3 linked regions of the Anolis sagrei genome follow. The protein of the gene in region 3 interacts with the protein of the main gene of each other region in a biochemical or structural test. Links are inferred from orthologs where the notes say so. Each region holds a gene or a part of one and is shown on either strand. Other genes may lie near its edges.

Evidence for each region.
Region 1: of the proteins of HNRNPA1 (region 3) and PRMT1, one has a biochemical effect on the other in vitro, tested with the Homo sapiens proteins (3 studies listed by BioGRID, with this or other methods). The link is inferred for Anolis sagrei from reciprocal best matches to the Homo sapiens genes HNRNPA1 and PRMT1.
Region 2: the proteins of HNRNPA1 (region 3) and PSMD9 interact in a test that uses a peptide from one of them, tested with the Homo sapiens proteins (3 studies listed by BioGRID and IntAct, with this or other methods). The link is inferred for Anolis sagrei from reciprocal best matches to the Homo sapiens genes HNRNPA1 and PSMD9.

Annotation. Positions count from the first base shown.
Region 1 is NC_090026.1:22,286,212-22,297,374, forward strand, and holds the start of PRMT1 (protein arginine N-methyltransferase 1), read left to right. Parts: upstream 1-6,684; 5' UTR 6,685-6,769; coding exon 6,770-6,799; intron 6,800-11,163. UniProt on the Homo sapiens protein: Arginine methyltransferase that methylates (mono and asymmetric dimethylation) the guanidino nitrogens of arginyl residues present in proteins such as ESR1, histone H2, H3 and H4, FMR1, ILF3, HNRNPA1, HNRNPD, NFATC2IP, SUPT5H, TAF15, EWS, HABP4, SERBP1, RBM15, FOXO1, CHTOP, MAP3K5/ASK1, MICU1 and NPRL2.
Region 2 is NC_090034.1:32,226,433-32,237,129, reverse strand, and holds the start of PSMD9 (26S proteasome non-ATPase regulatory subunit 9), read left to right. Parts: upstream 1-5,965; 5' UTR 5,966-6,029; coding exon 6,030-6,146; intron 6,147-9,161; coding exon 9,162-9,264; intron 9,265-9,653; coding exon 9,654-9,847; intron 9,848-9,947; coding exon 9,948-10,049; intron 10,050-10,358; coding exon 10,359-10,447; intron 10,448-10,697. UniProt on the Homo sapiens protein: Acts as a chaperone during the assembly of the 26S proteasome, specifically of the base subcomplex of the PA700/19S regulatory complex (RC).
Region 3 is NC_090022.1:188,552,748-188,564,179, forward strand, and holds the start of HNRNPA1 (heterogeneous nuclear ribonucleoprotein A1), read right to left. Parts: upstream 4,645-11,432; 5' UTR 4,538-4,644; coding exon 4,523-4,537; intron 4,433-4,522; coding exon 4,394-4,432; intron 1,885-4,393; coding exon 1,768-1,884; intron 1,166-1,767; coding exon 1,019-1,165; intron 1-1,018. UniProt on the Homo sapiens protein: Involved in the packaging of pre-mRNA into hnRNP particles, transport of poly(A) mRNA from the nucleus to the cytoplasm and modulation of splice site selection.

The sequences.
Region 1 (11,163 bases), on a different chromosome or scaffold from region 3:
AAGGGATAAGGGAAATACATTTTGGAGAAGTGCAGCATTAAAATCTAAAATTTTATGGGAAATGGGTGGAAGAGGAAAGGGAGGAAATGGACCTGGGAGGCTTTAAAGAGTTAGGAATGGTGCATTGCAGAATCAGAAAGGCAGGAGAATCCGGATTCATTGAGAAGTCCGGTTGCACTTACCTCTCTGCAGCTGAGAACAAAACTAGGCTCTCAGTTTGCACTCCCCACCAGCCCCAGGCTCACAGGCCCCGCCCACTCAAGGGGCGTGGCCTAGAGGAAACCCACTCCCCTCCCTCCCTCCCCATCTTCTTCCCATTAGGTGAGCAGGGCTTTCTCTTTTCCTCCATTTCCCTCCCTTATTGGCTCTCCTTCTTGATTGGCTGGAGGGAATGAATAACTCCCATAAAGGAGTCAGATCACGGAAGGGAAAAGCAAAAGGAAGGAGGAGGAGGTTGGTGCAAGGTCTTAAAGGGGAACTATCAGGTGCAATTTCCAGGAAGGAAGATGGGGTTTTGGGGGGAGGAGTGGAGGACAGAAGAACGGTGTAATAATAATAATAACAACAACAATTTAAAGATCAAACTGCAAAGACTCTGGCACAAGCCAGTAAAGGTGATCCCAGTGGTGATCGGCACACTGGGTGCAGTGCCTAAAGACCTTGGCCTGCACTTAAACACAATCGGTGCTAACAAGATTACCATCTACCAGCTGCAGAAGGCCACCTTATTGGGATCTGCATGCATTATTCGGCGATACATCACACAGTCCTAGACACTTGGGAAATGTCCGACATGTGATCCAATTCAACAACCAGTAGAGTGTCTGCTGTGGACTCATCTTGTTGTGTTTCAAATAATAATAATAAAGATCTCGTTTGCTGTGACACACGGTGATTTTGTGACAGCAACATAATAATAAAAATATTGAATAATAATAAAGATCTAACTGCAAAGACTCTGGCATAAGCCAGTCAAGGTGGCCCCAGCGGTGATCGGCACACTGGGATCAGTGCCTAAAGACCTTGGCCTGCACTTAAACACAATCGGCACTGATAAAATTACCATCTGCCAGCTGCAGAAGGCCACCTTACTGGGATCTGCACGCATTATTCACTGATACATCACACAGTCCTAGATACTTGGGAAGTGTCCAACATGTGATCCAATACAACAACCAGCAGAGTGTCTGCTGTGGACTCATCTTGTTGTGTTTCTAATAATTATATAGATCTCATTTGCTGTGACATACTGTGTTTTTATGTCAGTAACATAATAATAATAATAATAATAATAATAATAATAAATCGAACTGCAAAGACTCTGGCACAAGCCAGTCAAGGTGGCCCCAGTGGTGATCGGCACACTGGGTGCAGTGCCTAAAGACCTTGGCCTGCACTTAAACACAATCAGTGCTGACAAAATTACCATCCGCCAGCTGCAAAAGGCCACCTTACTGGGATCTGCATGCATTATTTGCTGATACATCACACAGTCCTAGACACTTGGGAAGTGTCCGACGTGTGATCCAATACAACAGTCAGCAGAGTGTCTGCTGTGGACTCATCTTGTTGTGTTTCAAATAATAATAATAAATAAATAAATCATGAAATTATTATTATTATTAACTTTATTTGTACCCCGCTAACATCTCCCGAAGGACTCGTGTGGCTTACAAAGGACAAGGCCCTCAATAAAACAACAGCATAACAAATACAACAATAAAACTCATAAAGCAAACCAATAAACATTAAAGCAATAACAATAGAACATTAAAACGATTGCATCAAGTGCCTAGACACCATCAGCATTTGTAAAAATGTTGGCACTTTTATTGAAAATATGATAAAGCACTGGAAAACTGAACTGTTTGTTGGAAATGAAAACTACGTACTTGTCAACATCAGGAAAGGAATCCTCCAGGGAGACTCATTGTCCCCACTGCTATTCATCATTGCCATGATCCCTCTGTCAACAACCTTACAAAAAACAAACCTGGGCTATCAAACATCTAAGAAATCTCACAAAATTTCACATCTGCTGTACATGGATGACCTGAAACTATATGGGAAAACTGAAACTGAAATCCACTCTCTGACTAATACTGTCCGAACCTTTAGCACTGATATCAACATGGAGTTTGGTTTGGACAAATGTTTGACACTGGCACTGAAGAAGGAAAAAATCATTGAAAGTGAGGGCATAAATATGCCCATTGGCCAAGCAATCAAGTGTCACCAGCCAGAGGCCTATAAATATATGGGCATACTACAGCTGGACAACATCAAACATGAACATGCGAAAACTGTGGTCAGCAAAGAATACATTCAAAGGGTCAGAAAAATTCTCAAAAGCAAGCTCAATGGAGGCAACACCATCAAGGCCATAAACACTTGGACCATGCCTGTCATAAGATACACTGCTGGTATCATAAACTGGATGCAGGCAATTTGGAAAAACAAGAAAACTCATGACCATTCATAATTCACTGCACCCTCACAGTGATGCTGACTGGCTCTATCTGCCTAGAAATTCTGGTGGCAGAGGACTTTTACAAGTAAAACAAGCAGTTGAAGAAGAAAAACATGCCCTGGCAGAATATGTCAAGGAAAGCCAGGAACCTGTTGTAATTGAAGTCAATAATCGGAAACTTCTCAAAGCACAGCAGACTATGAACCAGTACAAGAAATCTGCACTCCAAACTAGAGCTGACAGCTGGCACAACAAAGCATTGCATGGGAAGTTCCTTGACAAAATTGAAGGAAAAATTGATAAGGAGAAGACCTGGTTGTGGCTGAAGAAGGAGACAGAAGGCCTGATTCTTGCAGCCCAGGAGCAAGCCATCAGAAGAAATTCAATTAAGGCCAGAATTGAAAAATCAGCTGTTGACCCAAAATGCAGTCTGTGCAAGGAAGCTGATGAAACCATTGAGTATATCCTCAGCTGCTGCCAGAAAATCGTACAGACGGACTACAAACAAAGACACAACTCTCAGATGATTCACTGGAACTTGTGTCACAAGTACCAACTGCCAGCAGTAAAGAATTGGTGGGATCATAAACCCGCAAAGGTCGTGCAACATGAACATGCAAAAATACTGTGGGACTTTCAAATCTAGACTGACAATGTTTTGGAACACAATACACCAGACATCACGATTGTGGAAAAGAAAAATGTCAGGATTATTGATGTCGCCATACCAGGTGAAAAACAACAGGAAAAACTCAGCCGCTATCAAGACCTCAAAATCGAACTGCAAAGGCTCTGGCATAAACTAGTACAGGTGGTCCCAGTGGTCATTGGCGCACTGGGTGCTGTGCCAAAAAATCTCAGCTGGCATTTGGAAACAATAAACATTGACAAAATCACCATCTGTCAACTGCAAAAGGCCACCTTACTTGGATCTGTGCGCATCATTCGAAAATACATCACACAGCCCTAGACCCTTGGGAAGTGTTTGACTTATGATTTTGTGATACGAAATCCAGCATATGGATCTCGTTTGCTGTGACATACTGCGCCTTTGTGTCAATAATAATAATAATAATGCTTTTATGATATGCCAGTCTGATTCCTCTTCAGAAGAGATAAAGTGGGGTGTAAATAATGATGATGATGATGATAATAATAATAATAATAATATCAATCAGTTAAATAAAATTGAAATAAATACACAAATAAAATGGAAAGAATCGTTAAATGAATAAATACATTTAACCAAATTGATTTTAAATAAAGTAAATGAAGCAAACTAATAAAAATTGTAGAGTGATGGCAAACTACAGCTCCCAATAGGATCCCATAGCATGGAGCCAAGGAAGTTAAAGTGGGTTTAAACTTCATTCATTCTGCATTGTACATGCATTCTCCAGTGCCTTAGGGGGTGCATCTACACTGTAGAAGGAATGCAGTCTGACACCACTTTAATGACCTGGCTCCATGCTATGGGATCCTATTGGAAGTTGTAGTTTAGTGAAGCACCAGCACTCTTTGGTATCAAATTTGATTGATTCTAGTGCAGGCATGGACAAACCTCGACCCTCCAGGTGTTTTGGACTTCAACTCCCAGAATTCCTAACAGCCGGTAGGCTGTTAGGAATTTTGGGAGTTGAAGTCCAAAACACCTGGAGGGTCGAAGTTTGCCTGTGCCTTTTCTAGTGTATAGATCTCTTTTTCTCACCTCCTTCCTGTTCTCTATAGAGTCGGACGTGAGTCTAGGCACATAGACGAATTTCACCACTGCAACTTAAAATTCTCAATGGTATCTCGACTGAACCAATGAGCTTTCAAGAGAGAATTCTGGGTTTGTGAATGGCACACCCACTTTGTCCTTACTAGGAGAGCTCTGGCTGGAAATTATCCAATGAGGCTTTAGGATTTTTTTTATTGACAGGCAATCTATCCAATAGCTGATCGCACAAGCAGAAAAGGCTGTTCTTCGTCGCTGAGTGACGTCATGCCCTTCCATATAACATTTGACCTTGGCAATGAATGAACACAAACCAATGAAATAAATTACTGTCCTTTCCAAATTCGGATTGACATGTTTGTCTGCCAATACAGATTTGTCAATAATTTATCCTAAATGATGGATATGCCATTCAGCCAATAAGGAAATGAAGGCTTTTTAATGACACTAAGTGAATACTATCAATGGGGGTAAAAAAAAAAGATTGATAGGTGATGAGTGTACACTGTAGACTTAATGCAGTTTGATACCGCTTCAACTCCCACGTCTCAATTATATGGAAATTTGGGCTTTGTAGTTTTCGGCATTTCTCTGCCTTCAGCATGTTAGGCCCCTTGTATAGTCCCAAATAAAATCCAGATTATCTGCTTTGAAGTGGATTATATGTCAGTGTAGAGTCATATAATTCCATTCAAAGCAGGTAATTCAGATAATCTGCTTTGAACTGGATTATATATCAGTGTAGACTCACATAATCCCATTCAAAGCAGATAATTCGGATTATCTGCGTTGAACAGGATTATATGACAGTGTAGACTCGTATAATCCGATTGAAAGCAGGTAACTTGGATAATCTGCTTTGAACAGGATTATATGTCAGTGTAGACTCATATAATCCCATTCAAAGCAAATAATTCAGATAATCTGCTTTGAACTGGATTATATGTCAGTGTAGACTCATATAAACCGATTCAAAGCAGATAATCCGGATTATCTGCGTTGAACAGGATTATATGAGTCTACACTGACATATAATCCCGTTCAAAGCAGGCAATTCGGATAATCTGCTTTAAACAGGATTATATGTCAGTGTAGACGCATATAATCTGATTAAAACAGATAATTTGAATTATTTCATTTGAACTGGATTATATCTGTGTAGCCTCGTGTGATCCAGTTCGAAGCAGATAATTTGAATTTTCTGATTTGAACTGGATTATATATCAGTGTAGACTCGTGTGATCAGGTTCAAACCAGATAATGCGTATTATCTGGTTTGAACTGGATTGTATGTCGGTGAAGACTCATATAATCCGATTCAAAGCAGATAATTTGGATAATCTACATTGAACCAGATTATATGTCAGTGTAGACGCATATAATCCAAGTCGAAACAGATAATTCGGATTATCTGGTTCGAACTGGATTATATGTATATCAGTGTAGACCAATGTGATCCGGTTCAAAGCAGACAATGCGGATTATCTGCTTTGAATTGCATTATATTGGTCTTCACTGATATATAATCCGGTTCATTTGCGGATTATCTGGTTTTATAATCTGAGTTATATGGTTGTGTCGAAGGGCCCTAGGTTACATGGCAGTGTATTTATTTATCGTGTCAGGACAGTCAGTCGATTATATTACATTTCTAACAGAACAAAGCAAACAAACAGAGAAAATACAAAATGTGTGAGTTTGGTAGTTAATTAAATGTCCTTTGACCAGTATCTGGCCACTTGGAGTGCTTCTGGTGTTGCTGCAAGAAGGCCCCCCATTGTGCATGTGGCAGGGCTCAGGTTGCATTGCAGCAGGTGGTCAGTATAGAAGGAGCTTTATATTGTCATGTACTTCTTGACAATTAATGCATCGTTTATGGGGCTAAAGAGAACCTCTGTTCTTTGATTGTCAGTTTCGTTAACAAATCCGTTTCTTTGTCCCACCCCTTTGAAACAAAGCAACCAATGATGATTGAGAATACGGAACCCTTTGCTTTGACAGGCATTTCCATCACCAATAAATCTTGGAATATTAGCTCCAAAACCCGCCTCCCTCTTTTAATTGGTGGTCGTTTCTTTTCCGGACCAATCATATTTCATACTAACAAACGGGCCCGCCTCTTGGTTCGTGATTGACAACGCTCTGTTCTTTGGGTGTCTTAAACCAGGCATGAGGCAAACTTCGGCCCTCCGGGTGTTTGGACTACAACTCCCACAATTCCTAACAGGCGGTAGGCTGTTAGGAATTGTGGGAGTTGTAGTCCAAAACACCCGGAGGGCCGAAGTTTGCCCCATGCCTGTTTCTAAAAGAAAAAAAGCCCGCCTCTTTTACGGAAAGCACCCAATGGGATTCGAACGTCGGTTTGATGGAAGATCCCGTCGAAGAGTGTGTCGCGTCAACCAATGGGAAACAAGGAGGCGGGGCTTATTTCCCCACCTCTTTCTCTTTCTCGGGAGTGACAGCGGAGCCACCCAATCGGAGGGAGTCCCACCTCCTCGGCTGAACGAGAGCGTTGAGGGGAAAGGGGAGGGGGCGGGCGCGCGAGACGGCTTCTCTCTCTCTTTCAGCGTCTCATTCGCAAGATGGCGGAAGCTGCAAACTGCATCATGGAGGTGAGGGCGCGTGGGAGGGGTGGAGGGAGCGGGAGAAAGGGGGAAAGGGGCTCCAGGGAGGCCTCAGGCCCCACACACCCCTTCCCCATCGAGCCCGGGCCCTTTGGGGGGACCTTTAAGGAGGGACCCCCCACTCCCTTCCCATTCAAAGGCCTGTCCGCCCCTCATAGTGAACCCCAGGGCGCTTTCCCCCATCCTCGAGGGTTCCTTCTCCTTCCAAGAGAAAGAAAGGCCTTTGGGTCTCATTGGAATCCCCTCTTCTCCTACTGAAGGTTTTATTTTCTCTCCCCACATCAGTATGAGGAATGGATTTTTCTGATTTATTACTATTATATATCTTATTAGTTTATGATAATTTCCCCACATTGTTTTTAGGAACGCATGCTTCCCTGATTTGTTATTATTATAACCCAATTTTTGATAATATTCTAAGGAACATATTATTATAATATTATATTTACACCCCAGTTTATGATAATCTCCCCACATTGTTATTAGGAACACATGCTTCCCTGATTTTTGTTATTATTATAGCCCAATTTTTGATAATCTCATTCTAAGGAACAGAATATTATTATATTAGATTTACATCCCAGTTTATTGTAATCTCATTCTAAGGAACAGATTATTATTATAATATTATATTTACATCCCAGTCTATGATAATCTCCCCATATTTTTATTAGGAACGCATGCTTCCCTGATTTTTGTTATTATAGCCCAATTTTTGATAATCTCATTCTAAGAAACAGATTATTATATTATATTTACAGTTTATTATAATCTCCCCATATTTTATTAGGAATGGATGCTTCCCTGATTTTTGTTATTATTGTAACCCAATTTTTGATAATATCATTCTAAGGAACAGATTATAATAATAATATTATATTTACATCCTAGTTTATGGTAATCTCCCCACATTTTTATTAGGAACGCATACTTCCCTGACTTGTTATTATATCTTAATTTTCGATAATCTCATTCTAAGGAACAGATTAATATTATTATATTTACACCCCAGTTTATTATAAGGAACGGATGCTTCCCCGATTTTTTTTATTATAGCCCAAATTTTGATAATCTCATTCTAAGGAACAGATTATTATTATAATATTATATTTACACCCCAGTTTATGATAATATCCCCACATTTTTATTAGGAATGGATGCTTCCCTGGTTTGTTGTTATTATAACCCAATTTTTGATAATCTCATTCTAAGGAAAAGATTATATTATATTTACATCCCCACATTTCCCCCCCTCCATATTCCAGAATATCAAGACAAAATCCCACAATGGGCCCTTCTACACACACCCCTATATCCCAGAATATCAAGGCAGGAAATCCCACAGTATCTGAGTGTGGACTCAGATAACCCAGTTCAAAGCAGATATTGTGGGATTATATGCCTTGATATTCTGGGATATAGGGCTGTGTGGAAGGGCCCTGAGTCCACACTGCTCACTTGATATGTATCATCATTATTGTAGGATATTTTCAGATCATCTCCCAAAATTATTCTGAGAAATAATGAGGAGTAATAATTATTATTATCCCAATTTTTGATAATCTGATCTCCATAAGGAACAGATTCTTCCTACTTGATATGTATTATCATAATTATAGGATATTTTCAGATCATATCTCCACATTATTCTGAAAAATAATGAGGAATAATAACAATAATATTCTAACCCAATTTCTGATTATCTGATCTCTGTCAGGAACAAATTCCTCCTCACTTGATCTCTATTATCATTATTATAGTATAGTATATTTTCAGATAATCTCCCCCACATTATTCTGAGGAATTAGTATTATTATTTTATTATTCTATCCCGATTTCTGATAATCCGATCTCTATCAGGAACAGATTTTTCCTTCTCACTTGATATGTATTATATAATAATAATAATAAACTTTATTTATACCCAGCTCGGCTTACATGAGGCCATATAATTATAGTATATTTTCAGATCATCTCCACATTATTCTGAGGAATAATGAGGAGTCATTTTTATTATATTATTATATGATTATTGATATGAATTATTATATCCCATTTTCTTAACGAGGCTCAAAAATACTACAATTTAACATCGATGGATTGTAATATAATATTTTCGAATTTCTGATCATCTCCCCACATTATTCTGAGGAATAATGGGGAATCATTTTTGTTATTATATTATTATTTCCCAATTCCTGATCATCTGATCTCATAAGGACAGATTTGTCTTCCTCATCATTTGATATGTATTCTGATATTCAGTGGGTGCTATGAAATTATGCGGCCTCCTTTTCTCTAAAGCTGGTTCCCTCCGCAATTCGGCTGCTTCCCTCCTCATGGTCCCCGCATGGCATGATGGCACGCCTCGCCCCGGAGGGCCCCGCCTCCTCCGGCCCGTCCAGCCCCGCCCCCGCCCGTCTAGGAAGAAAGCGCGCCGGGCCCCGAGAAATCCGCCTCCTTCCTCCCCTTTTGTGGACGGATCCCCTTCCTTTCCTCACCCCAAACCGCCTGGAGCTCTCTGCCCCATAGAGATGCCCAGAGCGCTTCATGCTCCCTTCTCTGTGCCAAGCCTGCAGCCATCTATTGGGATGAACCTAAGGACACGTGGAGCACGTCTGCACTGTCTCCCCAATGGCGCTCTTTGTCCAGAGAGAAGCCTCCCACCCCTGGAATAGCATGGGATGTTTCCCCTGTTCATTGGAGCCATTTTTCCTCCAGCACCGTAAGAGTGCAGTAGACTCTTAGGCTCCTTCCACACAGCTCTGTACAATCGACATTGAACTGGATTATATGGCAAGTATGCACTCCTAACCCAGGGCCCTACCATACAGGACCTATATCCCAGGATGTGATCCCAGGGTTTCTGCTTTAAACTGGATTATATGAGTCTGCACTGCCAGATAATCTGGGATAAACAGAAAACCTGGGAATCACATCCTGGGATATAGTGCCTGACTGGAAGGTCCCCAGCCTCAGAGCCCTTCCACATATATGAGTGTGGACTCATATCCCAGTTCAAATTAGATATTGTGGGGTTTTCTGCCCTGATATTCTGGGATATAAGGCTGTGTTGAAGAGCCCCCAGAACATCAAAGCAAGAAATCCCACAAAATCTGCTTTGAACTGGGTTTTCTGAGTCTACACTGCCATATACACTCCCCTAACACCAGTTGCTACTCTGGGACCAGAGGAAAGAGGGATCCAGGGTTTCTTCTTTAAACTGGATTATATGAGTCTGCACTGCCAGATAATCTGGGATAAACAGAAAACCTGGGATATAATGCCTGACTGGAAGGTCCCCAGCCTCAGGGCCCTTCCACACAGCCCTATATCCCAGAATATCAAGGCAGAAAATCTCACAATATCTGCTTTGAACTGGGTTATCTGGGGGCCCTTCCACACAGTCATATAACTCAGAATATCAAGGCAGGAAATCCCACAATATCTGCTTTGAGCTGGACTCAAAGGGGACTCAGAGCAACTTACAAGTCATATACAATACAATAAATAAAATAAATACAATATCTTCCTGGGGCCCACTTTTCTCTGGTCCCAGAGTAGCAGTTGGTGTTGGGGAATGTATATGGCAGTGTAGACTCAGAAGACCCAGTTCAAAGCAGATATTGTGGGATTTCATGCTTTGATGTTCTGGGAGCCCTTCCACAAAGCCCTATATCCCAGAATATCAAGGCAGAAAATCCCACATTATCTGGGGCCCCTTCCACACAGCTGAATAAATTCCTACATTTTCTGCTTTGAACTGGGATATATAGCAGTGTGAACTCATATCCCAGTTCAAAGTAGATATTGTGGGATTTTCTGCCCTGATATTCTGGGATATAGGGCTGTGTGGAAGGGCCCTTGGAATATCAAGGCAGGAAATCCCACAAAATCTGCTTTGAACTGGGTTATCTCAGGGCCCTTTCACACAGCCCTATATCCCAGAATATCAAGGCAGAAAATCCCACAATATCTGCTTTGAGCTGGATTATCTGAGTCCACACTGCCAAATATTCCAGTTCAAAGACGAAAACGTGGGATTTTATTCAGCTGTGTGGAAGGAGCCTCTGTCCACACTACCATATATTCCAGTTCAAAGCAGATAATGTGAGATTTTATTCAGCTGTGCGGAAGGGTCCTCAGTTAACCAGAACCCATGGAAATTGGTATATGCTAGATACATGTAGGACCCCTCCACACAGCCCTACAACCCAGAATATCAATGCAGAAAATCCCACAATATCTGCTTTGAACTGGGTTATCTGAGTCTACACTGCCATATAATCCCGTTCAATGTGATTATATAGCTGTGTGGAAGGGGCCTCAGTTTGCTGGCACTATAGGGATTG
Region 2 (10,697 bases), on a different chromosome or scaffold from region 3:
GGTTTCCAGATGGAAGGCAGTCCTGACAAAGGTTTGCTTGAAGCACCTTCTTCCTCTTGACATGTTCCTCGCTTTCACCCTCTATTTCTGCTTCTTCAAAATCCATGGAATTGTTGGCAACTGCTGACCTCTATTCAACGCTCGGAGGCAAGGCCTTTTCAATTCTCTCTCGGTGTTGATGCCACATTTTTAAAGATTCACTTTAAGTCCATCTTTAAATCTCTTTTGCCATCCACAGACATTCCATTTTCCATTCTTGAGCTGAGAGTCAAGCAACTGCTTTGGGAGACTGGTTTCTGGGCATTCAGACAATGGTGCATTTGGCCCAACAAAGTGGATGGCAGAGGGTCATGGTTTCAATGCTGGTGGTCTTTGCTACTTCTTCCAGAAGACTGGCGTTTCTGCACCACCAGTCTTCTTCCCAAGAGATCTGCACAATTTTTCAAAGGCAATACTGATGGAAGTTGAGAGTTTTGGCAATTTGGGGCCTTTTACAAGTTGTTCAGGGCAGGGCCGTAGCCAGAAAAAAAATTCGGGAGGGGTTTAAAATTTCGGGGGGGGGGTTGAAAATTTCACGGGGGGTTGAAACCTGCCTCCTAGCTCACGCTGAAGCAAAGAGCACAGCAGGGGGCAGAGCAGCCTTCAATAGCCTGCAGCTCTGCCCCTGTCAACCACCTCCACCAAGTCTGGCCTCCTTAATGAGAGCATTCAACACTCCCCCCCCCCCAACTTCATTGCTTCACTACATCGGCTATTGCTGCAAGTAATGACAGTGTGAATAAATTGTCAATATTTACTTGAGATAGTGCTTGCAGTTCTGGAGGGACTGTTAATTTTTTGCGTCTCATAGACTTACCATGGGGATTTGGTTAACCAGTTAAAATTCATGAGTAAACCAGGTTTTTTTTTAACCTGAAAGATTTGGGGAGGGGGTTGAACCCCTAACCCGCCCCTCCACCCCCGGCTACAGGCCTGGTTCAGGGCCCTTTTACAGTTGCCCAGGGCCAGTTTTGGCCATTTGGTGTCTTTTAAAGGTTGTTCAGGGCAAAGAAACACAATATTTATAGAAATACAGAGTTGTCAAAATTCAAATTTCCCGTGCCCGCCCCCTGAGCTGGCCTCGCGGTGATTGGCTGGAGTATCAGCTGGCTGGGAGGTGAGGCTCAGCAAGGCTGGGGTTGTCCAATCAGAGCATTAGCCCCACTTCGGCTGCTCAGCCAATGAGGAGGCAGGAGGCGGGCCGGGTGCGAAACAATTAATGAAATGGGTAAAATGATAGGATTAAGGTGACCAATGTTTGCCCAACGACCCAGTGATAGTGTAGGCTCTCAAGCTGAGTCCAAGTTATTGTTTTAACCTTTTGAAATAACATCTTTGTCTAGCCCCGAGGGCCAGGTCCTTTGGTTTTTCCTTGCTGTGATATGGGGTTCATTGTCAGAGCAGAGACTTGATTTCAGATCAGGATATGACACGGTAGGGAAGCTGTGGCAAAATCCCCGGTTCCTTGCAGATAGGGAATTGCCCTTTATGTTGGCTGATCCAATATGTCCATAGACCCTATTGTTTCTGAATGGCCTGGCTATCAGTCCTTTGAGATCCAGACAGATAGAGCCATTTATTTATTGTCCATGCAAATATGTCTTGGTTGAGTCCTTTGTCTAAGGAATTACTGGCCCAGGAAGTTTGGAAACTCCAAGAGCCATGAGTTGCTGGCTTTATGAAAAAGGTGGCTTCTTCCTTCATTTTTCAAATATTGACATACATATAGGGAATGGGGAAATGGGGTATGGGAGCATACATGGAATCTGAGAGGGGAGGAGGGGAAATCGTGCAGGGTCTAGGAAAGTTCATAACAGCCCCCAAAGTCCATGGAAGTTTATAAACAGTCATAAAAAGTTCATGGGAATCTGTAAAGAGTCCAAAAAGTACCTAGAAATTGTAAAAGTTAATAAAAGTTGACAAAAATCCAGGAAAGTTTCTAAAAAGTTCATAAGAGTTTGTAAGAGTCCACAAGGATTCATGAGGTGCAAGTAAGTCCATGGGAGCACTGGATTGTCACAGTCCATTTAATAGACTGAAGGTTTATTTCATAAATTTTTAGTCCATGACAGGCTGGAGTGGCCTGCCAGAGGTTGGGGGTCCCCAGGGGTGACCACATGGGGCCCCTCTAATCCAGCAGGCTTCTGGGCTCGGGGTAATGTCCACAATGTGAAGGCACAACCATGGCTGCTGCGTGGGAGCCATGGAGAAAGACGTTCTGGTTACCACATGAGGTTCCACCTGATGAGGTGGCATTGTGGGGCACAGGGGTCTGTTCAGCAGAAAGTGAGATAGCAGTTAGTCTCAAATTAGTCCCAGGAAAAGATTGACAGTGGTTTGGAGTCGATCGGTTGACCCGCGGATACGGGGGCCGATGGGTTTCCTTATCCATGGTTCAAAGGAATGCAGTTTCGCCCTCCCTGGGATGCTGTAAGAGCATCCCGGGAGAGCCAGCAGTGATCTGAGGCTCGGAAAAGGAAAGGTTCATTCTGGAAAGTATTTGAGTCAGTAAAGGGACACAATGTATAACTATGAAGAGGAAAAGTTAGAAGGAAAGATGCTTCTTTTCAAAGATCCATGCTCTCAGGAACTGTGGAACTCCCTGCTGCGTGATCAGATCAGCTTGAAGGCTGGGGCCTGCAAGTTCGCCCTCAGTAGTTCAGAGTTTTGCCCATTGAGTGCCTTTTAAAGGTTGTTCAGGGCCTCTTTAGAATTGTTTAGGGCCCGTTTTGCCCATTTTGTGGTTTTTAAAGGTTGTTTAGGGCCTATTTAGGGTTGTCCAGATCTTGTTTTGTCCATTAGGTGCCTTTTAAAGGTTGTGTGGGGCCTCTTTAGTGTTGTCTAGGGTCGTTTTGCCCATTGGGTGCCCTTTAAAGGTTGTTTAGGGCCTTTTAAGGGTTGTCCAGGGCCTGTTTTGTCCATTGGGTGAGTTGTAAAGGTTGGTTAGGGCCTCTTTAGGGTTGTCCAGGGCCCGTTTTGCCCATTGGGTGCCTTTTACAAGTTGTTTAGAACCTCTTTAGGGTTGTCTAGGGCTCGTGATTGCCCATTTCGTGCCTTTTGCCAGTTGTTTAGGGCCTCTTTAGGGTTGTCCAAGGCCAGTTTTGCCCACTGAATGCCTTTTAAAGGTTGTTTAGGAGCCCTTTAATGTTCTCCAGGGCCCGTTTTGACAATTTGGTGCCTTTTACAAGTTGTTTAGGGTCTCTTTAGGGATGTCCAGGGCTTGTTTTGCCCATTGGGAGCCTTTCAAAGGTTGTTTAGGGCTCTTTAGGGTTGTCCAGGGCCCGTTTTTGCCCATTTGGCAGCCAACTCTCCACAAAAGTTGACCTTGATGCCAAACTCCAACCTCGCCTGAGCAGTGCGAGTGCAGCACTGTTTTGAATGAAGCAGGGAGTGATCGAGAAGATACCAAGATGCTTGCTCATAAAGCTGTTGTCCTCTCAATTCTATTGTGAAACAAACTCGAAATCTCAGGATTATAGAGCATTGGCTATTTGAACTGAGAGCATAACTGCATAATGGAGATGGATGCTGTGTCAGTCCAGGAGAGCTCACTTTGGGCTTCATTTTACCTCAGAACCATAATTATTAAAAACTAGCTGTACCCGGCCACGCGTTGCTGTGGCCCATTGTGGAGAAATGGGATAGAAAGAAAAGAGGAAGAGCTGGTTTCTAAGCTATCAATACACAACTGGAGTGGCAAAGTGTCAACCTAATATAGGCCCCTTTTCAGTCTCCTCGAGGCCAACGAGTTTTATGGATGTGTGGAAGGGCCCTGGGTTACCTGAGTCCACACTGTCATATAACCCAGTTCAAAGATATTATATAGATATTATTATTGTTGCTGTTGTTATAGACATATAGATATTATTATAGGCATATAGATATTATTATTATAGACACAATTATTATTATTAAAGGTATATAGGTATTATTATTATAGATGTTATTTTTATTTCATATCAACATTTTATTATTATTATTTACAGTATTTATATACTGCCTTTCTCACCCCTGGGGGGATTCAAAGCATTGCATGAATTAGTAAGGATGGGGCAGTAAGGAAGGCAGGCCCTCCCCAACCGGGCCTGCCTTCTCCCGGCTTCAGGATGGGGTCTCGCCCCATCCTGAAGCCGGGAAAAGGCGGGGGAGGCGGCAGGCGGTGCCCATGCTTTGGGCCCATGCTGCCTGCCCCCTCCCCAACCGGGCCTGCCTTCTCCATCCCCATTCCCAACCACCACCCCCCCTTCCTACCCTCCCTCTCCTCAGTAGCAAGCAATATTTGTTGTACAATGAAAAACTGTCAATAAAGATATTTTTTTTTAAAAAGGATGGGGCGAGACCCCATTCTGAAGCCAGGAGAAGGCGGGGGAGGCGGCAGGAGGCGCGGCTTTGGGCCCGCACCGCCTGCCCCCTCCCCAACCGGGCCTGCCTTCTCCCGGCTTCAGGATGGGGTCTCGCCCCATCCTGAAGCTGGGAGAAGTCGGGGGAGGCGGCAGGCGGTGCGGCTTTGGGCCCATGCTGCCTGCCCCCTCCCCAACCGGGCCTGCCTTCTCACGGCTTCAGGATGGGGTCTCGTCCCATCCTGAAGCCGGGAAAAGGCGGGGGAGGCGGCAGGCGGTGCCCATGCTTTGGGCCCACACCGCCTGCCCCCTCCCCAACCGGGCCTGCCTTCTCCTGGCTTCAGGATGGGTTCTCGCCCCATCCTGAAGCTGGGAGAAGGCGGGGGAGGCTGCAGGCGGCGCGGCTTTCGGCCCGCACCGCTTGCCCCCTCCCCAACCGGGCCTGCCTTCTCACTGCTTCAGGATGGGGTCTCGCCCCATCCTGAAGTCGGGAGAAGGTGGTGGAGGCGGCAGGCGGCGCGGCTTTCGGCCCGCACCTCCTGCCCCCTCCCCAACCGGGCCTGCCTTCTCATGGCTTCAGGATGGGGTCTCACCCCATCCTGAAGTCGGGAGAAGGTGGGGGAGGCGGCAGGCGGCGCGGTTTTGGGGCCGCGTTGCCTGCTGCTTCTCGACACCCCGCGGGCCAGATAAATGCCCTCGGCGGATCAGGTCTGGCCCGCGGGCCGTCGTTTGAGGACCCCTGTGTTAATCCCACAGACCAACATTACGTTTTTATTTATATAGATTGAATTGAATGGTAGACATGTAGTGAATAGGAAAATATGAAGGAAAAACCAACAATTTCATATATTAGTCCCAGTAATTGTATGTTTAGGATGTGTTTTTTACTCTAGGTTTGTTTCATTGTAGGTTTACGTGTCTTCTATCAAATTTTTTGTGTTTTTCTTTTTCCTTTCATCACCCTTTAAGAAGAGAAGCAGTTTTCTGGGCATTTCTAGGTTTGAAGAGATTTGAAATCTTCTTTTCCATTTTGTCCGACATTCTCCCTCATAGGAAAAAAATGGATTACGGAACATTTCCTTTGAATATTATGCTTCAGATGAGGCCTTCCCATATTTTTACATCTGACCCTCATTTTTATCCCCCCTTTAAAAAAAAAGAATTACTTGTGTTCTGTTTGTTTGACAGGGCTGGATAAGTGTTCTCCTCATATTGTGTCAAACCAAGTTGTGTGTATTGTGCATGGAATTACAGAAATGACTTTGGAAAAAGTGCTTATATTGGGTTTTCTTGACCTTTTATGATTTTTTGGTGGAGAAACATGTCTACACCGTGGTTTGGAAACTCCCAAAAACTTTACATCGTTGGGTTCTGTTGATTTTTTTTGGTCTTGATTTTACCTCAGAAATTACCTCAGAGAAAGAATAAAAAGGCCTTTAGAGAAGCTTCTGGCGCCCCAGCCAATAGGAAACGGGAACAGTCCCGCACGCGGCGAGGCCCCGCCCCCAACAGCTCTTCGGCGCGCTCATTGGCTGAGCTGCTTAAAAAGTGCAAGCGTCGCTCAGCAACAGGGCTGTTTTGGCCCTCGACGCCCGCCGTAGTTCGTTGGCTTGTCTCTTCGCGAAGCCCGAGTGCCCGTCAGTCGCGGCGATGTCGCGGGAAGGGGCGGAGGCGAAGCCCGTCACAGTCAGCGACGTGCAGGAGCTGATGAGGAAGAAGGACGAGATCGAAGCCCAGATCAAAGCCTACTACGAAGTGCTGGACGATGTAAGGAAGAGGGACGGGGGAGCCCAAACCCGGGACTACAACATCCATCATCCCCAGAAAGGCCCGTAGCCAGGATTTTGATTGGGGGGGGGGGGCTGAGTCTGAGCGAGAGAGGGTCTACCCTAGCAAACCTTTTGTATTGTTACCCCAATACCCCTATGCATATGGGATATATTGAGCATGGTGATCAGATCATGATATGAATAAACATAACAGTTTAAATAATGTACCACTAAGGCCTTCTCACAGACCACCATCAGAATTTCGGCTACATGCCTGTCCCCAGAGAAGCTTTTGGGAATGGGTTTTGCAATCCAAAGCTGGTGTGACAGGCCTCAGATTTCCCCAAGCTTCAGCAGGAGCACCGAAAGTCTTTTCTCTGCCTTTAAAATATAATATCTGTTGCTCTTGAACCTATTATTAGCGACTTTATTTCTTTCTTTCGCCTGGTTTGGAGAAATTATATCTTCTTGATCTAAAACTACAGGTTGTGTGTTTCTTATCCACAATCGTTCGGACCAGAATTGCTTGGGATTTGGTGTGATTTCTTGTCCATGGGATTCTTAACAACAACAACCTCATTTATGCTTCATCTTCGCCTTCTACACATAGCTTGAAGGCAATTTTGCCTACGATAGAACCCGCTGAAAGCAACTGCAGTGGACAGTTGTATGTTTCAGAGTGTTTTGGAATCCCAGGTAAAAGATGCTCAACCTGTCCTAACTGCCCTGGTCCCCTAGCATGGAGCCCTGGCGGTTAAAGTGGTGTCAAGTTGCATCAGTTCTACAGTGTAGGTGCACCCCTCACTGGGATCCCCTCTACACTGCCATATAATCCACATTATTTGCTTTGAACTGATTATATGAGGCCCCATCAACTCTGCAATATAACATCCAGATTATCTGCTTTGAACTGGATTATGTGACAGTATAGACTCAATGTATTGTCGAAGGCTTTCATGGCTGGAATCACTAGGTTCTTGTGGGTTTTTTCGGGCTATAGAGCCATGTTCTAGAGGCATTTCTCCTGACGTTTCGCCTGCATCTATGGCAAGCATCCTCAGGTTGAGAAGGTCTTCTCAACCTCTGAGGATGCTTGCCATAGATGCAGGCGTCTCAACCTCTGAGGATGCTTGCCATAGATGCAGGCGAAACGTCAGGAGAAATGCCTCTAGAACATGGCTCTATAGCCCGAAAAAACCCACAAGAACCTAGTATAGACTCAGATAATCCAGTTCAAAACAGATAATCTGGATTATATGGCAGTGTAGATCCAGCCTGAGGGCCCTTCCAGACAGACCCTATATCCCAGGATCTGATCCCAGGTTTTCTTTTTATCCCAGATTATCTAACAGTGGAGACTCATATAATCAGATCTAAAGCAGAAAACCTGGGATTAGATCCTGGGATATAGGGCCTGTCTAGAAGGGTCCTGAGTCCACACACTGCCATATAATCCAGTTCAGAGCAGATAATCTGGATTTTATATGGTAGTGTAGAAGAGGTCTCAGGTAAGCATCCATGGAATTGCAACCTTCATTACTTCTTTGATGGCTGATAGCTTTTATGGCAAGGTTGAGAGCCACTGTGCTTCTGACAGTTGAATGGAAGGGGTTGTATTCCCTCCTGTTATTAGAAGCAAGATATTAAATGCATCATGTTATGTGTAGGAAATCCCCCCTTTTCCCACTCCTTAATTCCCCTGGTTATTGGTTAAACTGATGCAAAATGCTCATTACTTTGAAAGGCTTTGGTCCTCATGTGCTGAGTCACTGGAGAAGGCCAAATGTGGAGCTCCAGCTATTGGCATTTTGCTCCTGAACAAGACATTGGGGTATATTTTTGGAAGAGTTTTTCTTCCCGTCCCTTTTGTCAAGTTAAACCAGGATGACTGAGGCTGGATCTACACTGCCATCTAATCCAGATTGCACTATGCAGCACGATTGTTGTTCCTAGGTTATACATGTAATTCCCTAATTGGCTCTATCATAAAAACATGGAAAAGTGTGTCAAACATCCTGCAGCACTTTTGCTCTTAGTTTTTCAATGATTCTGTCATAAGAGTCTCAACCAATTCAACCTAGTTTGTGGTGGCCATAAAAATGAAGTTTTTGGAGTAGAACAACTATTTTCAAAGTAGGTATCACACAATTAAACAGGAAATAACACTTTCAAACTAGGAACAGATTTTTTTCAAATGTTATATAGTGTTATCAAAGCAGATGATCCACATTAGCTCCTTTGAACTGGATTATATGAGTCTACACTGCCATACAATCCAGTTCAAAGCAGATGATCTCGATTTTATATGGCAGTGTAGATCCAGCAATAGACAACCCATTTTCAGCAATGTGGGGTGGGACATTTTCCATTGTATATCTCTCCATAATTTCTTTTAACCCAAACTTGTTCCATAGATTGTATTAACAACACAGAAGTTCAACGGTGGCAACTGGAATAAAGTTGAATCTAAAATTAAGTTTATTTACCTTTCTAGGAAGTGTGTTATTATTTACATAACTCTACAGGAATGCTAAAATTCACTGTTGTCTCTGCCTTTATTTTTTAAATCATAATATAAGGTTAACTACTGAACTGTTTTACTGAACTGTCTCATCATTAAAGGTTTACATGCTTTCCTGTTGTTAAAAATGCCTAAATAATGCTTTTAATTTAATTAACTGAAGTTTTAGAGCACTGTGTAGTTAGTTATAGAGGTATTTTTGCCAATCGGATATTTTAGTTCAGCTGTTTTTGGTATAGAAAACAATGCTTGTGTGATCTTTACAGCATATTAAATTAACACACTAAAATTTTTGCCCACTAAATAAAAATCAAATGTCTAAAATCCACTTTCCCTTGACTGGCTTTTTTCTAAGCCCCATTGAACTCAGTTGACTAGGATTCCAGCTTCAGTGAACACGATGTTAAGCTGTGTGTTTTGTAGCAAGCTCCTATTTTGTATTTCCTACAAAATAGCTCTGCAAAGTCACTTTGTTCTCCTTTTACCCTGCAGCAAAAAGGTGTTGGGATGCATGAACCCCTTGTGGATGTTGAAGGCTATCCGCGTTCAGATATTGATCTTTACCAAGTCCGGACAGCAAGACACAACATCATCTGTAAGTATTAAGTCCTTAATTTGATTGATTGTTAGTTCTAACTTAGTTCCATCATGCACAGTGGTGCTTACTTCAGGATTACACCCTGATTTGAGGGGGTTTTTTGGCTTGGAAAATGGGATGGGGATCCAAACAGGAAAAAAGCCCAAAACCTATCAAGAGTCTGAGGAGTAGAAATGCATACATATAAAGTTAAGAATCAAGAGACCTCTGAGCCAATGTTGTGTCTGGGCATCTGTTTCCATCATTTTTATGTAATAGATCTTCTCTATTAATGGTGGAGAGTGGACAAGATCAGAGATAGGCCAGGGTTCTCAGTGGGTGACAATACCAGTGTAACTCCCTGCTGCCCACCCCTGCCTTAGGTTATGGGTTTATTTTGTCTCTAGGTCTGCAAAATGATCACAAGGCTTTGATGCAACAAGTGGAAGAGGCGCTCCATCAGCTTCATGCCCGGGATAAGGAAAAGCATGCAAGGGATGAGGCGGAGGCTCGAGCCGAAGCTAGAGGCCAGGGCCTGCCCTCGCCTCAGCCTTTTGCCAAGGTGAACGCCATCACCCCAGGATCCCCGGCAAGCCTTTCGGCAAGTACTGACGCTCCTTGCTCTTGGTATCTGTCAGTCTGGTTTTTATTCTGGTTGTCAACCTAAGGGCAAATCACCTTGACTATGTTTCCCTCTGAAGGGCTTGCAAGTTGGTGACGAGATTGTGGAGTTTGGCTCAGTGAATGCACACAACTTCCAGTCGCTGCAGAATATTGCCACTGTGGTGCAGCACAGCGAAGGGGTAAGAATGAGGGATATTATTATTATTATTATTATTATTATTATTATTATTAGGACTTTGACCACTAGGCAGGTGAATTTGGGAGTTCTATTTTGTGTGGCCAAGTTGAACAATTGACCAGTGGTAGAGAAGGAGTTTAGTTTGTATCGATGACCCTGTTAGCTTCTCTTTTTAATTTTGCCTTGGGAATTTGAGACTAGAAAAAGATAATGGAAGCTAAGAACTGACTGGCCTGGACAACTATAGCCCAACCTGGAGAGCAATCCAGGCTGAACATATGTGTATTGTGTTACTTCTCTCTGCCCATAGAAAGCATTAAGTGTGACTGTGATCCGTGGAGGAGAAAGAATGCATCTGGGCCTCACCCCGAAACGCTGGAGTGGCAGGGGGCTTCTGGGGTAAGCATGCGAAACACCTCTCTGGTAGTGAAAGCCACAGCTTTTTGTATAATGCTTTAGACCAGTGGTTCCCAACCTGTGGTCCATGGACCATAAGAATGAAAATATGGTCCACGGCCTCACCATTACTACATAGTTGCCTGGAAACCACGCAGCAACAAGAGCGACTGGTCTCGCGAAACCCTCTTATAGTGCCAAGGCAACAGGGATCTCGGGAGGGGAGAGGCTGACTACCCACAAAAGATTGCTA
Region 3 (11,432 bases):
TTTATCTTATAAATTTTCCTGACATGGCTATGTTTCCAGTCTTCACCTATTGAGAAGGGCTTCAAACAGTCCCGAATTACAAAGATTCGATTTACAAATGAGTCATAGGCGAGTGGGCTTCGTAACAAGACCCTACTCATAAATGTACAGTAGTAACTTATCAGCAGCCGCGTGACCCAACACCAGTAGCCAAAAGTGATAAAAAGAACAAAAACACACAGCCCAATGTTATTTCTTCCATTGGAGGCTTTTCTTTATAGAAAAATAATATGGTTGCACTATTTACTAGGTTTCTGTAACACAAATAAATATATAGCAGCTTTACACGCAGCACTCTTCACACTGGAGCTCTTACACAAGACTTCGGCCTACTAACTCTTTCAGTGCTTGACTCCCACTTTTGTAATCAAAAATACTCAGTTAATTTTTTTTAAATATTTCTGACAGAGAGAGCAGGAAGTGAGAGGAAATCTATCCCCCAGAAGGGAAATTCACTCCCAGAAGTTATCATGAAGAAAAGGTGTCTCCATTGAACTTCAGCATCAATTCTTGTTTCCACAACAAACCACCTTTTTCGAAATCCAATTATCACAGGGACAGAAGATGAGAGGAAATCTTCTGAACAGGCAGTAAAACAAACACCACTCTTCCCTAGGCTATCCAACGCTTATATATTTGATATAATTATTTTAAAAATTCATGCAGTTTTCAAACATACATAGTTTTCCTCAGTGTCTCTTTATCCTAATTCACTTTTAGGACTCTACCTTCATATATCTAAAAACAAGAAAGGCAACCTAAGATGTTTGTAGCAAGAATTACAAGGAAAGATGAGGACCCTGTACCCATCTGACTATATTAGGTTGGCGTTATGATTTAATAAATATAACTGTTCCAACTTACATACAAATTCAACTTAAGAACAAACCTACAGAACCTATCTTGCTCGTAACTTGGAGACTGCCTGTACAGAACCTCAATCTATTCCTGTTACAATAAACTGAAGAGCAGTTCTTACCTCTCTGGATACAGCTCTCTTTGGTTCAACAACTCTACCATCAACTTTGTGTGGTCTGGCATTCATGGCAGCATCAACCTCTTCCACTGTTGAGTATGTCACAAATCCAAAGCCCCTGGAGCGCTTAGTATTGGGATCTCTCATCACCTAGAATGAAGTATTCAAATCAGTATTTCATTTTGCGTTCTGCATATACCAAGTGGGGGCAACCACTTTCCTTAAGGTTTGTTGGTGGTGTCATATATCAAGTATGGGTAGCACTGAAACTAATAGTGGATACAGAACAAATATATTAAAGACCAACCCTTTTCTCACAGATACCCCTCCCACTGAAGTTGCTGGGAAACAACCAGCAAATGCCTTGTTTTAAATGAATTTGAAATTATGGGTGCATTAAATCTTGTCAAGCCAAGTGCAGCCATAGTTCATAAGCCACACACACACACACACTCCAAGGATATAATACCCACCAAGCTCATGAGCTGGATTTCCTAAGATTAACTTGCAATAAGGTAACTTCACATTTGTCCTATCCAGTATATCAGATTTCATTAACACAAAAGGGAAAATCAAAGCTAGTACTAATTCCAACCCACCCCAACATGCTGGAACAATATGCCCCCTTCTTTTTCAATAGCTTCTCTAATACTTGTTAGGTGTGCTGTCCTTTAAGCTGCAATACCCAATCCAGTCCAAACCAGAAATGTTTCCCTTGTAATAGCTGTGCTCAAGATGCTGGAGATACTTACCACACAGTCTGTAAGTGTCCCCCATTGCTCAAAATGATTGCGAAGGCTCTCATCTGTTGTCTCAAAACTGAGGCCCCCAATAAACAGTTTGCGCAGCTGTTCAGGCTCCTTCGGGGACTAAAAGAGAAAAAAGCAAGGTGATAAAACAACAAGTAAAATTGCCCGGATGGTTCTGCAGAATATGTTCACTCAACTGTTCGCCGTCTACATTTTGTGTATTTTAGTACTATCCTCTCTTTAGGAATATCCAAGTCCTCTAAAATTACTCAATGGTCACCCTTTGCCAGAACAGAGTCCTAGAGGCATTTTCACAGGTAAAAAGAAAATAATTGTGATTCTCCCATTTCAGAGGGGTCCTGTATCTTTAACCCCTGTGAAGGCAGAGCTCCTACTGTAAATGAAAAGAAACACTCTTACCATGCCACAAGCATTTGTGAAACTAGCATGTTACTTACTCTTGACTACAAAGTCTTAAACTTCATTGGGAGCACTTAGGCACAGATTCCAAATATTACAGATTATGCCACTGTTTCTTTAAGTACTTTCTGGGTTTCTCTCAATTTCTACACTGAAACAAAGAGTGTTTTGCAGCATAATTTTGTAAGAGAGTTGAAAATTACAGCATATAGGTTTTGCTGACAATTGCCTCATTTCCTGTGTTTTCAGCACTTCTGGCACACATAATTGTCAGAATAATTAAGTTGGGCAATATAAATAAACTGACTAGCAGACCTGTTAAAAAACCCAGAATTGAGCCACTGAAAAAATAAACATACCATTGGGGGAAATTATTGCATTTTTAAAGACTCCACAGCAAATAATTTTTAAGGCATGCTACAATGAATGACTAAGGATATATACTATTGCTCAAGACTGCTGCCTGCAAATACAAGTGTTTTTTCTGGTCTATGTAAATATAGTGCAGAGGATCCACAGAAAGAGCACCATGGGTCTTGGCAACATGGGAATATGTTTTGCTTTCATGACCATGCACCAGATAACAGAAGCATAAAAAGCAGATTTTGGAATGAACTGTGTAACGACCACCTCGCCAACTTAGAAAGGGTGGAGTATGGAAGAAAGGAAAGGGATGTAATGGCATTCTAAAGGCTGAGGAAAACAGGTTGGTAGCATTAGCTTTTGTAAATTTGAGCATTATTATTTTATTTATTTATAGTCCACTCTTTAGTCACAAAGGCTCGGTGTTTTCCAAAATATTAATTTACTTTTACAATTACAATATAAATACGATATAATACAATAAGATAAGATGGAGCGATGTCTGGCTGGCTCCAACTCAGTGGGGAGAGCGGTCTCTCAAAAACTGATGGATAGTCAGGTAGTCTTTAAATTGCAACAAAATTGCAGATTGATATTCCAAAACCAACACAGTTCTCTCTAAATACTACAAAAGCAGTGTAACTGGCTGAATAATTAAGGTGCTTGAGTCCAGAATGCTTCTCAGGCAAGATGTCCATCTACATGGAATTTATGTAGTTTAATAATTTAATTGCTATTTTATTTATTTACTATACTATTTTATACCCTGCCATCTCTCACTCCGAAGGGGACTCAGAGCAGCTTACAAGTTATATATTACATTATTAGCATAGTACAATGCTAGCATCATATATTATTATATTGTACTACACCATTATGATGCAAAATTATTAGTAATATTACATGTACTATATAATTATTATATTTTATTATGTTACTAGCCACCCCCTGCCACGCATTGCTGTGGCCCAGTCTGCGTTTTGCGTGCATGTGTGTGTGTATATATATATATGGTTTGGCAAATGCGTTGTAATGTATTTTTTCTCTTTTAAATTCCCTTCTGCAGTGTTTTTCAGTGTTTTTATGAGTGATAGTCACTCATGGGCCTGATAGGTGTATTGTGTCCAATTTTGGTGTCAATTTGTCCAGTGGTTTTTGATTTATGTTAATCCCACAAACGAACATTACATTTTTGTTTATATAGATTATACTGTATTAGTATTATATTGTATTACATTATAATACTACAATCAATATTATAAGTACATATAATATATTATATTGCCTGTGTCTCAATGTTATGGAATCCTACGAGTTGTAGTTTGGTGAGGCACCATCACTCTTTGGCAGAGAAGGCTGAAGACCTTACAAAAGGCTATCTCTCAGAATGATACTGAACCGTAGGAGTTAAAGCTGTATCAAACTGCATAATCTTCGACACAATGAATCAAATGGGTTTATTCAAGTTCGAAATGGAATCAATGAGGATTCTGGGCTCAAGAGACAAAGCGAGCGATCACGTGGCTCAGCCCTTTCCCATCCCCCGCACAGAGCTCAAGGGGGAAAAGCTGTGCTCTACGGCGCGCATGCGCTCCAGAGAAAGCCTGCTGGACTGCACAGCGCATGCGCAGCCATTACAGGCGCCGGGGGAAAGCTTAGAACGCCACGCACTGTAAAAGATGGCGCCTGCCCCGGGAAGCCAGCGCGCATGCGTAGTGGCCGGGGAAGGTGGAGGAAAAGCAGGCCCAAGCGGCAAGGGGAAGGAGGCCGAAGCAGAAGCTCAAAAATGGCCAATAGGGGGGAAAAAACAGCCAGCATTGGCGCGGGGAGGATTTTTAACACTTACTTCGTTAGGAGACATATCGCACCCGTAATCGGACGATCCCTAAAGGCAAAGGAAACATAATTCCACAAAAACAAGCCACAGGTTTGGTTTCGAAACAACACGACACAAACGCCCGCGGGCGGACCTTACCTCAGACTTCGACATGGTGGCGATATTCACTCGGCGAGGCCTAGCCCGGCTTCCTCCCCAACGCGGCTTCTTCCTTCTTCTGCAGCTGAGGCGGAAAGAGGCAGAGTCAGCAGCGCCCCGGCGCTTCACTACTAAGGCCCGCCCCCGGCCAACCACGATTGGTCAGTCTCCTAAGCCGCTTCCTCTCCCATTGGGCAGCGGGCAGATTGGCCGCAACCTATTGGACAACAGAATAGTGACCTCGCCCTTTTTCGCACGGCTTGCCCACCTCCGTTCGCTTGCTATTGGGTAAGATACTTGTCACTCCTCAATTTTGTCCTCCGCCATTTCTGAGGCAGCACCCGCCCCCTCTCCATGGTAGCTTTCCCTTTATTGGCCAATTTAGAACGCATCTCTCTTGTGATTGGCTTACATACCCGGATTCCATTTTTCCGGTTGGTCAGCTTTCTTTTCATTCATTTTAACAGAGGCGGGAATTAAGTTGGCAGCCTTAGAACGTTTTTCCTTTAACGGTCCCAAGAACTGTATGCAACGCCTTTGGCGAAGGTGGCAGCGGGGGTTAGAATAAAAGAGGTGGAAAGGGCCATTCAGATCTATAAAAGCTTGCTTCCAGGCAGCAACAGCAGCAGCAAACGGTGAGGCGGGGCCTACAAAAGCCACGCATGCGCCTTAAGTTCACTCTTGTGTCAGACAGGAGGAAGGGAGGGAGGGACGCTGGGAGCGGTGCGCGCGCCTCACGCCAGCGCGAGAAAGGGGCGGAGGGGGGGGGCAGCTCGGCGCGTGCGCACTGCGAACCTGTTTTGGCGGGCGTTGCGCAGAAGCGGCGGTTGTGAGGGGGTGGGGGAAGTTGGTTCCGCACCGAGCCGTTACTTTTTCCACTCTCCCAGGTGAGCGACCACGGGAAATAACTCGGCGGGCGGCGTGCTAGCGAAAGCCGGTCCTTTAGAGGGAGGGGGCGTGGTCTCGGCGTGATTGGGAGCTTGCCTGAACCGCACTGTGGTACCGTTGGAAGAGGGGGCGGGGCCTGAGGGTGGGCGGGGCCAGCTTGCATGAGTGACAGCCTGGCGGGTCGAAGGGTGTGGAGGCGGCCCGAGCGAGAGAATGCTGAGAGGGAGGAGGGAGGGGTTGACCGAGGGGGCGGGCGCTTCTCATTCTTTCGCGGGATTGGTGGAATGCCTCTCGAGCGACGTGCGCGCTCTCCAATCAAGAGGAGTGTGGGTGTGGGCGGGCGGAGTTTGCGGCTTTCCCGCCAGGAACCTCCTCCCTCGTGGAAGTCAGTTGCCCTCTTGTGGTCTGTGCTGCTCATAAGGGCCTGCTTTTCAATAATAGTAATCATAATAATAAGAAATCAAAGTCTTTTAAGTAAAGTCCATGATTCAGTGAATGATCGAACTAGTTCTAATGCTCTTCTTGTTCAATCTCAAACCTTTTTGTATTTCCAGTATATCCAGGGACCTATGAATTGTCCATGTCCTTTCAGTACCTCTGCGGTCCGCCAACATGGCAGACCGTTCAGCCCTTCAGATCTTGTGCGTGTCTCTTGTCTTTTGCTCAAGAAATTGGCAATGCCTGCTAACGTTTGCCGGGGCTGCCCTCATTGCAAAGCGATAGTTTAAAAAGCTCGGAATCCCATAAACTTGGGTGACTTAAAAACAGAAAGGGCAGCGGTTTTCCCAGGGTCCTTCCACACAGCCATATAACCCAGAATATTAAGGCATAAAATTCCACAATATCTGCTTTGAACTGGGTTATCTAAATTCACACTGGGTTGTAGGTTTTTTCGGGCTAAATGGCCATGTTCTAGAGGCATTCTCTCCTGACGTTTGTCTCACTACCTCTGAGGATGCTTGCCATTGATGCAGGTGAAACGTCAGGAGAGAATGCCTCTAGAACATGGCCATATAGCCTGAAAAAACGTACAACAACCCAGTGATTCCGGCCATGAAAGCCTTTGACAATACATTAAATTCACACTGCAATATAATCCAGTTCAAAGCAGATAATGAGGGATTTTATTCAGCTGTGTGGAAGGGGCCTGAGATGATGCTAAATTTCAATGGAAATATTATTTCAGCAATACCCATCTTAACGAAAAATAATCTGTGTCATGTATTTTTGTAGTTTAACCTAAGAACTGAGACTTCTTCAGTGCTGAGTAGGTGGGTTTTTAATATTATTATTTATTGACTGTGTTTATACACCACTTTTCACAGGAGCCCCCAGTGGCGCAGTGGGTTAAACCCCTGTGTCGGCAGGACTGAAGACCGACAGGTCGCAGATTCAAATCCGGGGAGAGACAGATGAGCTCCCTCTATCAGCTCCAGCTCCTCATGCGAGGACATGAGAGAAGCCTCCCACAAGGATGATAAAAACATCCAATCATCTGGGCAACATCCTTGCAGACGGCCAACTCTGTCACACCAGAAGCAACTTGCAGTCTCTCACGTTGCTTCTGACATGACAAAACAAACAAAACCACTTTTCACACCCCGGGGGGTGGGGATAGGACTCAAAGTGGTGTATATCAAGTAATGGCAAGATTCAATGCCGAGATATATACACACCAAACATAATAACTAAAACAATACATATAACTATAAATGAAACCATTAAAATCATATTAAACAGAACACAAACATTTAGACAATTGAAACATAGCTTTAACATCTTAATGTTAAAATCACATAATCCAAAATTCAAAAATACTCATCGCAACCCTTATTGGAATATTTGGGGAAAGAAAAAAATATTTTGGTGGGTGGAATTTCACTCTTACCTTGCCCAGCCTTGCGTTAAAGTGTATTTTGAATTGTTTAATAGTTTGATTTTACTTTAATAGTGACTCTCAATGTTTTTTTTAAACTATTGTGATCATTAATTTGTTAGCTGCCTTCAGTCCTAATCTTGGGGGAAAGGCAGAGTAGTATAATAATGATAATGCAATTCAAGGGAAAAGAGAAGCAATAGATTTTAAATGTATAGGCAGTTGCCAGATAAATTAGGGTCTGGTTGCTTGAGAGTTACAATTTAAAATAGGTCTAGCTAATACTACATACTGTAGTATATCATATGCTCTGTATTGACTTGATATTCATACTGAAATACAGTAATTAAAAGCAAATAAAGCCAAACATAACATCACAGTTTTGCTGTATTTTAAAAATTGCTTTGTGTATACAGTATTACTTATTTATTTCAGGAATTTCTATACCGCCTTTCTCCAGCAGACCCAAAGTAATTCACAACATCATTAAAACATACAGTATAATATAAAACCATTGATTAAAACAACCCAAAAGAGTTAAATGGATGCTCCCTTATAGAAAATTAAAAATTACCATTAAATTAAAAGCAGTCTAAAATTTCCATATGACAATAAAATACTACAAAATACTAGGCTTCTGTTGCAGTTCATTTAAAAGGTATTTCAAACAGGTGGGGTCTGATCTGATTATTTCTTTGATAGCTTGAGAGTTCTGGTTGCTTGAATTCCAGTTAACTGAAAGTCTATTGTGCAATGTATAGACCCATCTACAATAGTCAAACATCATATAGTTATACTCTAGTTATACAGTATTGTAATATTTAGTGTCCCATTTTGACTTCTCCATTCTTACATTGCGACCCAAATTGAATTGAAAAGTGTGCCTGAAATATAATAACTTGAAAATCTTACCTAGTCTTGTGTTTCTCCGCCAAGACTTCGATAAAGTTAGTTATTGCTAAGTGTTGTGTAATCCATCAATAGGTGTGGGGTGTTGAAAAAATGGTCAGGAATGTCCTGAAGTAGACTAGAACAATGTATGTGCCTGTAAATTCTGTAATCTTCTATGTGGGAAAGCATTTACTATGAGGAGCAGCATAAAGAAATATTCTTGTGCAAGAACTAAGACCTGGAACACAACAAATATTCCTTTGCTTGACTTTCTAAATTTTGGCAGGTGGATTCTTTTGTGATCATTTCCTCCAATGTTATTTCTGCTTTGAATCTTATTTTTATTGAGTGTTGTAATGTAATACAGATTGCGCATCACTTAGCTGGAATTCCAAAATCCAATATCTTCCTCATAGGTGGCTGAGATAACATCTTTGCTATCTGATGGCTCAGCATACATAAGCTTTGTTTCATGCACAAAAATAATAAAAACGCCATTCTATATAATTATCTTTAGGTTATGTGTATATTTACAGGCTATCTCATTAAGTATATATATGCAAATGTAAGTATTCTAAAATCCAAAACACTTCTGAGCCCAAGAATTTGGATAAGAGTTATTCAATCTGTATAAAAGGGGGCTAAGGGTAATGAAATGACTCTGCCACACGCCCACATAGGAACTGATTTCAATGAAGTAAGTATATCAGGAGCAAGTACTGATCTTCATGGGATCAATGCCCATAGTTATTTGAGTATAATGCGTCATTGAATGTTATGTGCACCTTCGTTTTGAAGGTATGCATTACAAAAACAGGAATTGCTATCGAATGTAAATCAAAGTAGTAGTGGTTGTAAAAAGGCTGTTGGGAAGCTGTGCCTTCTGTCTGGCCTTCCTACCAGTTTTTTCATGGCTACCATCAGCTTCCTACCAGTGTTTTCACAGCCATTGCTGCCCCTCTCTCCTCTTGCCCAGCAGTGCAAAAAGGTTTAGGTATGTGATTCATTGGCTGTTCCAATATGCTTTCAGTGATTGATTACATGATAATCTCTGACCAAACTCTGCATAAAATGCCCTCAGAAGCACTTTATTTTCTTGTTGTGCAATTAAATCTTACCTCATCCCCCGGAACCCCTCCTTGATATTTTACAGTGTTTAAAAATTTTAATTCCTGAATTTGGCCCTGCCCATGGTGATCATTTTTGATGTCGTAATGTTTTGATTTTATATTGTTGTGTTGTTTATATACATTGGTTTTGTATTTTAATTTATTTTCTGATTTTCTGTTGTATTTTTGTGTTATATTGTGTATATTGTATTGATGGGTGTGGCCTCATGTAAGCTGCCCCGAGTCCCTTTGGGGAGATGGTGGCGGGGTATAAATAAAGTTTTTTTAATTATTATTATTATTAATGTACCATCGAATCTAATTTACATCGCTACCAGCAACCACCCCCCCCCCTCCAAATTTCTGCCCATTGTCAACAGTTGTTTCCTTCTCACTTGGAAGCTTGCCAGAGAACAGCATCCAATGTTTCAGGGACCAGCACTGGTTTGGGGACCACCACTTTGAGTCACACTGTTCTAAAATGTTATTGATATTGTCTGCTGTATTTAAAGGAGTGAATGGATTGTGGAAGCAATTTGGTGTTGGTTTGGTAAATGTATAGGGGATTATAGGGAGATGAAGAGAAGTGGAACAGATAGTCCAAGTTAGATCACTTCATTTGCTTAAGTGGGGTAATCTTGTACATCCTTGTTTAGAGGAAAACTTTTTTAAAAGTAAGAGTTGCACCCCAGTACCGTATATTTGCTATAACAAATATGTAACATATGAATGCGGAGGGGTAATTACTGGATATAGTTTTTTCAAAAGATAAAATTATGGCCCTGTAATTGTAGTAACCAGAAATAACATGTTTTTGAGCTTTCTTTTTGCAGTTGGGGGGAGGGGGGCATAGGATCACAGAACAGAATCCTTCTTTGAGGTTTCATAGGTGTCCCTGTTGCAATGCAACATGATTTCTTCAAGGTCCTGGTGCCTCTAATGTCTTGCGAGTTCCTAGTTTCAGTAGGGAGCCCATCATAATAATTGCAACATGTCATTTACCAGTGTTGTTTGCACATTGCTTTAAACCTGAAATCCTGGATTTTTGAACTATTTTGTGAATGAACAGTGGGCCATGCATTCTGTTTTCAGTTTGAGTGCCAGTGGTTAGTAAGCCAGAATTGCTGCTGTAGAGTAGCATAGATATGGATAGCTGTTGTGTCATAACTGATGCTAAATTTTACATCTTTTTCTTCACTGCTTACTTTCCATGTAATACAACTTATAGTTAAATCTGTTTTGTTAAATTGTCATGATACAGCTTTAGGAATGTTTGTGTACCATTCAGTATATAGTATAGCCCTTGTAGGAAATTGGATAATAACAAACCCTATTGAAAAAAACTGCCTCCACTGGAAGATACCTTAGATCGTTGCTGGGAGAAACAGAAAAGAATTTTTTAGTTATTCCAGCAATGTCAGTTTTTAACAGAAGCATACCATATTATTGTCTGGAGGATCTAGAAAATTCCGAGAAGGGAATGTTTTATTGGACCTAGGTGGGACAGCTGAAAGTACCAGACTTTCAGATATGGGGATTTTGATATAATTGTACTACATTCTGATTTCCATAATGGGGAGAGAGTTGTTTATTGTAGGTTTTAAGAATTAGTAGAATGTTACTAAAAGTAGAAGAATGAATTTCTAAATTTATAATAGTATTTAAAGAGAATAGATTAAAGAGAGATAAAAATCAGCATACAGTGAGTGAGAGATTGTAGACTAGTGTATGTTTGATTATTAGTATTCTTTTTGTGCAAATATCTATTCTTGTCTGTTTCATTTTTGTATTCATGCTGTGTTAGCTACAGTAGGCCTTTAGTAGTGGGGTAGTATTTGTTAGAATTTAGATAGTTTTTTTGTTGAATCTTGCAATTTGTATAAGCATACTTCTGTTTGTGTGTATGTTTTGTTTTTAAATAAAAACTATAAACTATTTTTTTTTCAAACTCCTGTGACATTGCTAATACTAAATCAGTATTTTTTTAAAAAAAAAAGTTAGTGGAATACAATTAACTGGAGGAACGTAAACTAATTCTTTAGTCAAGCTCTATGCTTTAGGTTTTCTCAATGTTTGCACAATAGCAATATTGCAATATTAACAGTCAATTGGTACAGCATTAGACTTTCTTAATGAATTTTTTCCA